Oryctolagus cuniculus: one gene and its partner. The protein of the gene in region 1 interacts with the protein of each later gene in a pairwise test. Links are inferred from orthologs where the notes say so. Each region holds a gene or a part of one and is shown in the gene's direction. Other genes may lie near its edges.

The links. The genes of interacting proteins can lie anywhere in the genome.
Region 2: the proteins of REL (region 1) and PRKAA2 interact in binary tests that used the Homo sapiens proteins (3 or more experiments, as listed by UniProt). The link is inferred for Oryctolagus cuniculus from reciprocal best matches to the Homo sapiens genes REL and PRKAA2.

Annotation. Positions count from the first base shown.
Region 1 is NC_091433.1:141,782,671-141,786,326, reverse strand, and holds part of REL (proto-oncogene c-Rel), read left to right. Parts: intron 1-238; coding exon 239-343; intron 344-451; coding exon 452-664; intron 665-1,990; coding exon 1,991-2,059; intron 2,060-2,187; coding exon 2,188-2,253; intron 2,254-3,656. UniProt on the Homo sapiens protein: Proto-oncogene that may play a role in differentiation and lymphopoiesis.
Region 2 is NC_091438.1:116,460,549-116,464,204, reverse strand, and holds part of PRKAA2 (5'-AMP-activated protein kinase catalytic subunit alpha-2), read left to right. Parts: intron 1-72; coding exon 73-199; intron 200-669; coding exon 670-908; 3' UTR 909-3,656. UniProt on the Homo sapiens protein: Catalytic subunit of AMP-activated protein kinase (AMPK), an energy sensor protein kinase that plays a key role in regulating cellular energy metabolism.

The DNA of each region.
Region 1 (3,656 bases):
ATCAGGATTTAGCAGCAAGGAGTACTTATCATTTCCTAGAAATAACATCATAAAGCTCTAAACCAAGTTAGGTGAAGCAGTTAGAAAAGAAAGGGACAGATGTGGATGATTAATGTGTTTAGTATCTTTTATTTGTATGCTGAAACATTCTTTAAATAGTTTTCCTCAAGTCCTCCCCTTCAAAAAGAAATATTTTACCAAGGTAGAAACTCGTATTTTAAAAATTGTTTCTTTGTAGGTGCTCCAAATACTGCAGAATTAAGGATTTGTCGTGTAAACAAGAACTGCGGAAGTGTAAGAGGAGGAGATGAAATATTTCTACTTTGTGACAAAGTTCAAAAAGGTACTTCATTTTTGTATTTTGGTTCATTAAATTCAGAATGTTTTTAGATTAATAGATGGATTTTATTTTGTTTTCCCTTTGTTATTTCTTTGGTTTCTTATTTACTAGATGACATAGAAGTTCGTTTTGTATTGAATGATTGGGAAGCAAAAGGCATCTTTTCACAAGCTGATGTACACCGTCAAGTAGCCATTGTTTTCAAAACTCCACCATATTGCAAAGCTATCACAGAACCAGTAACGGTAAAAATGCAGCTTCGGAGACCTTCTGACCAGGAAGTTAGTGAATCTATGGATTTTAGATATCTGCCAGATGAAAAAGGTATGACATTTTGGTGGCCCATAATCCTTGGGCCCCTGCACCCACGTGGGAGACCTGGAAGAAGCTCCTGGCTCCTGGCTTTTGGATGGGCCTGGCTCCGGCCATTGCAGCCATTTGGGGAGTATGCCAGCGGATGGAAGACCTTTCTTTCTGCCTCTCCCTCTCTCTGTCTATAACTCTGCCTCTCAAAACAATCTTTAAAACATTTCTTAATTTATTTGAATGAAAGAAAGCTCCCAACTGCTGGTTCACTCTTCAGATGCTCAGAATGGTTGGGGCAGGGCTGGGGTCTAGGCCGAACCAGGAACTCAATCTGGGTCTCCCACATGGGAAGGGACCCAATTATGTGAGCCCCCATTTCTGCCTCCCAGTGTCTGTATTAACAACTAGGAGTCAGGAGCTAGAGCCAGGAAACCGATCAAACCCAGGCACTCCAACGTGGGATGCGAGCATCTTTAACTGCTAGGCTAAACACCTGCCCCCTTTCCATGAACTCTTTGAAACCTCGTGTTATTAATGTATGTTTCTTTTCCTGAAAGTTTTCATTTTTTTTCTATTCCTCTATTTTTAAAAATACTCATTTTATTTGAAAGGCAGAGAGAAAGATCTTCCATCTGCTATTTCACTCTTCAAATGCCTGCAACAACCAGGGCTCAACCAGGCTAATGCCAGAGGCCTGGAGCTCAGTTCTGGTCTCCCACATGGATGGTCCTGAACCCAACTACTTGGGCCATCACCTGCTACCTCCTATGGTGTACATTAGCAGGAACCTGGATTGGAAGTGGAATAGCCAGGACTCAAACCAAACACTCTGATAAGGGATACAGACATCCCAAGCAGCAACTTAACACTTTGCCAAACACCTGCTCTGATTTTTTTTTTCCTTTACATGCTTTACATCTGTTTCTTAGGTTTGATTAATCTGGAATTGTTTGAGTATTTGAGCTGTTTATCAAATTTTCTGTTTTATTTTTGAGGCTCTATTTTTTTCTCTTGTGCATCCTTTTAAAAGAGGGGAAACTTGCCACTCAGACTGGTCTTTGTTTTGGCTCTTTTATCAGAACATTTTTTATTAGTTGATGTTGTTAACTTATAGGTATTAGAAGCAAACAAGATAAATATTTGAAACATTTTTACACGATAAAATATTCTTTCCCACTGGTTTGGGACATTCTTTACACTTTTATACTTACTAAGTCCATACTATGTACATTTATTTAAAGCATTTTCATATTCTTGTTGAAATAAAACGCCTGTTTGTTTATTAATGGAGAGGAAACATAATCATGGTGATTCACCTGCTTTCTTCATTTCTTTTTTAATCAGATACTTACGGCAATAAATCAAAGAAACAAAAAACTACTTTACTTTTCCACAAACTGTGGCAGGATTGCGGTAAGTGTATTTTGTATTGATTCATATTTATGTAGGTTATATATTTTGCTTTTCATTTTTTTCAAATTTTAACTGATAATGTTATTTTTCAAATTATACTTAATAATGGGAAAACTTTATCATAACAGTTAATTTTCCTGAGAGATCAAGACCAGGTTTCCGAGGACCAGGAGAAGGAAGATTCATCAAAAAAGGTATTTTATCCCCAACAGTATATTGCTTGTCATCAGACTAATATTTTATATAAGAATTCCATTTTTAGGAATGAGTAACTGCTTCTTTGTTAAACACTCCTGTAAACTTTTTTAGGCTTTCATTATTGAATGAATTGAGCTCAGTACCTGAAAGTTGCCCTGAAAACAGATTATGTTTTGCAGATTTACTGTCTAAGAAATTGTATTTTATTTATTTGGTGGTATTATTAATTGTAGTGTATCATGGAAGAAATGGTTTAAATCTGGCTGGTCATCTTTTTTATTTTTTATTTTTTTTAAAGATTTTATTTATTATTTGGGAGGTAGAGTTACAGAGAGAGAGAGGGAGAGAGAAAGGTCTTCCATCTGCTGGTTCACTCCCCAGTTGGCTGCAATGGCTGGAGCTGAGCTGGTCCAAAGCCAAGAGCCAGGAGCTTCTTCCAGGATTCCAAAGCAGGTGCCAGGGCCCAAGCAGTTAGTCCATCTTCCACTGCTTTCCATAGCAGAGAGCTGGATCAGAAGAAGAGCAGCTGGAACTAGAACCAGTGCCCATATGGGATGCTAGCCTTGCAGGAGGATGCTTAGGCCACTCACCACAGCATCAGCCCCGATTTTTTTTTTTTTAAGCCAGTGTCATCCATCACCCTTTGTTTGTTTGATATTTACTAATTTATTCATTCATTCATTGAGTTATTTGAAGGAGCCAGAAGCTTCTTCCGGGTCTTCCATGTGGGTGCAGGGGCCCAGGGACTTAAGCCATCTTCTGCTGCTTTCCAAGGCACATTAGCAGGGAGCTGGATCTGAAGTGGAGCAGCTGGGACACCAGCATCCATTTGGGATGCTGGTACTGCAGGTGGTGGCTTTACCCAGTATACAACAGTGCTGGCCCTGTCATCTATTTTTAAAAATTTTGATTGGAACACAGCCACAGTCATTTCATTATATATTGTTTCCAACTAGTCTCTTTTTTACAGTACAGCAACAGAGTTGGAATAATCCTAATAGAGGGTGTATATAGTCCACAAAACTTAAAATACTATGTGGTCCCTTACAGAAAAAAATTTGCCAAGCCCTGGTTTAGAAAATACAACCAAAAATTAATTGGTAGTCTTTTTCCCCCATTACATTATTTTTTTTAAAATTAGCTCACCTATTTTTACTTACTTCAAAAGACAGAGATCTCCTATCCACTTATTTACTCCCCAAATGCCTTCAACAGCTTTGGCTGGGCCAAATCGAAGCCATAATCTAAGCATTTAATCTGGGTTTTCTCAGTGAGTGGTAGGGACCCAACTACTTGAGCAATTATCTGCTACCTCCCAGGGTGCACATTAGCAGAAAACTGAATCAGGGGCCAGCGCTGTGGTGCAGCAGGTTAATGCCCTGGCCTGTTTGAGACCTGG
Region 2 (3,656 bases), on another chromosome or scaffold:
TATTTGTTTGTAACATTGCTTCCAATAAAAAGGAGACATTTTGTAGTTTGTTTCATTGATTTCCTATTTTAGGTAGTGAATGCATACCATCTTCGAGTAAGAAGAAAAAATCCAGTGACTGGCAATTATGTGAAAATGAGCTTGCAACTTTACCTGGTTGATAATAGAAGCTATCTTTTGGACTTTAAAAGCATTGATGGTAAGGAAGCTGTGCAGGTATAAACTCTTAAGAAAGTAAAACTTGGCACTAGTTGATCAGATTTTAAAATCATCTCAAAGACATGGTGGGTAAATATTGACGGGTTTTTAAGTAATCTAGACAAAATATTAAGTGAAATTATTTTTTGATATAATGGAAGATATTAAGTTGTCAATGATATGTTTTCTTCAAATGTGGGGCTATCAGTTTGATTTCAATATTAATACCACATATTTTGTCGAGAAGGATTTAGGGATCATATTTTGACCATGTGGAAGTGTTGTGATTGATTAGTGATGGATTAGGAGGAAAGAGCTATTACCACCTCTGCTCCTGAAACACTGAACATGACATTTATTACTAAGCTGCCTTTGTTCCAATATGTTTATATAATCTCCTGAATATAGCAATTTCGTAGAGGACTTGGGCAAATAGAATTTATGTATGAATTGTTCTTTTGTCCTTTCCAGATGAGGTAGTGGAACAGAGGTCTGGTTCCTCAACACCTCAGCGCTCCTGCTCTGCGGCTGGCTTACACAGGCCAAGATCAAGTTTTGATTCTACCACTGCAGAGAGTCATTCGCTTTCTGGCTCTCTCACTGGCTCTTTGACAGGAAGCACATTGTCTTCAGTTTCACCTCGCCTGGGCAGTCACACCATGGATTTTTTTGAAATGTGTGCCAGTCTGATCACTACTTTAGCACGTTGATGATCTGTCCCTGGTTTCTATCTTTCTGTTACTGCACTGTGAAAGATGAGATATATTCTTTAAATTATTATCTTACTTCTGGATGTCACATATCTGCAATACTAATTAAGAGACATGAATATTTCCAGGGGACACTCGATGCCATTGAAATTATTGAAAACAAAAATGTCTGACATTTTATTTACCTGTAGAACTCTGTAATTCTAACGTGCCTGTGATAAAATCACATAGGCAGTGTCTTTAACTATTGGACATCAATGAAGATTGTTAATTCACAGGTGTGGGTTCACTTCAGGTGATTTACTCAACTCACTGAGGAACCCTCTCAACATGAGAGGGGTTTGTCAATACCTCCCTGCTTCACTCTTTATTGTAGGTCAGTCACATTTGCTTCCTAAATTTCAGTAGGCTTTAAGCAGTGTTTATACAACCCCAGTTTTCTTGAACAAGATTTAAAACACAACCACTAGTTAGATATTATATAAATGGTGAATTCTTAAAAACTTGCCCTCCCAAATTTCAGAAGCCAAGTTTTTGCAAATATTGCCTAGTGCTCACCAGAAGGGCTGTGGTCCTGTAATAGGTAACCACGATTTCCAGGTACCTTATAAACAGTTATAGAAACCTCAGGACTTTATCTTGAGATTTCCCTAAATAATAGGTTTTAGCCTAAGAGCTTTCAGGGTTCGATTTGGTATTGGAACAAATCATCTGGAATTGCAACAATTTTTATCTTTTCTATAAACATGTCCTTTTAAAATACGCCTTCAAAACCTACTTTTCTCAAATTTGTTTTGGCTTGTTTTATGTTTTTGCACTTAACAAAGAATAATACAATAGTAGACAGTTAAATGAAACAAAGCAACGTATCAATGATCCCTTAAAAGTGAACTCTTATTTTTGATCCTTTATTTTGTATGTATGAGATGGGGATTAGGGGGAGTTAAGGAGGTGAAGGTCTTCTTGCATTTCACATTGCAAATTCTTCATTTAAAGTTTAAGTTTCTAATCGCTGTCACCTCCTTAACCCAACTAATCACCATTGTCTTTGCTCATTGTTTGATCCTCAGTGGTCCATTAACTTAGCTTTTGAGTCTTTCCCACTACCTTTCTTGGTTGCTGGCCATTCAGTTTGAAAACACCATTCTGGCCCCAAGGGCTTTTATGTACTCCCAAAACTTGAGAGGCCATGACCTTCACTGTTGAACCTGATATGGCAGAGAAGCCTTAAACATTGAGAAAAGTTCTCTCTTGAATAAATGTATGTGTTGTTTACATATATACATATATGTATTCACATACTAGTGCTTTTCAGAAAAACCAAACATTTTTTGCTGTTTTGTTTCATGCAGGTTATTTTTAAGATTAAAAAAGAAAACTATATATCAGGGTAGATAATAACTCATTTATTATATTTTGTTTTAAAAATATTTAATTTTTAAATTATGTGTAATTTATCTAAATTGTATTTATTCATTTATTGTATTTAATATGTTATAATTAACAATCTCATTCACATGACTTACTCTAAAAAATATTAAGCTCTTGAAAACGAAACAAAACAAAGTGATGACATTGCCTTGACAAATTTCTCTTTGCCAAAAATAGGATATTTTCTACCAAGAAGCAGATGTTAGAAAACGTTTCTCCCGTGCTTATCAAAGACAAGAATGTCTGTCTTGGAATGTTTTTTTAAGTTCTGAGTTTGCATTGTATCACATTGTTTTTAGGTCTCTTAAAAATGTTGTTAAGTAACTTGTAAGTTGGGCTTGTTAATGTCAAAATAAAAGGGATCCTTGTTCACCAGTCTGGGGAGCGGGATGGTCTGGAGTTTGAGATAGTACTGAAGTTTAACCTTTGAAACATTGCCATCTTGTGGCACCAGTAGGCTGTTGTTTCATTTACTGTTTTAGGTGGGTAAGTAGTCCTGTATTAGTTTGATATTCAGTCTGCTAAATGGCATCATTTTGGCTTCTCCAAATGTGTACAGGCCTCTTTTGAGAAAAACAGAACCATTCAGTCTTTGCCTGAATATGAATGGAAAGATCTTAGAAATAAGGAACTAAACAGATTCCTTTTCCCCAGTAGCAAAGTCCACAATTTTGAAGGCAGAGAAACAATGAGAAATAATCCAGTGGCATTTTAGTTTTGTTATTCTAATGAGCCAGATAATAGAAACTTATTCACATCAAATTTATATGGATGATTATCATATGTTTTGAGAGTTAAAAATTTATTAATTTTTTTCTCATTCTTACCAGAATTTGTGAACATCCACAGATTGATAATTGCTTGTTGACTTGTAGGAGACCCAAAGGGTGCAGTTTTGTTTATTCCATTTGTAAATTTTTTTAAAACAGATATTCTGTGACTCTAGATGGTTTAGTGAAATAGTTTGTAGAGAGGAGACATTAGGAGACCCTGTCTAGCTCAATAGTAGACTCTTTGTTACCTGTGAGCACAAGAAGGGAAAGAATCAATTTCTAATCTAAAATTCCTACATATCAGTCTTAGATATTGCTGAACTGTGGATGATAGATAGGTCTGAGCCAAGCACAATGTCCTGCAATCAAGACACTTCAGGAGAGCTTCTGTTATTGGGCTATAGATAAAGCTTTAGATGTGTCATGGGAATAGACTCCATGTGGTTCTAGAACAGCATGCCTCATAGTGCATCCTGTGAGATACTCTGCTGAGGAAAAGAGTTCATGATGGAGTAAGCTTGGAAAATATTACATGCTGCTCTCC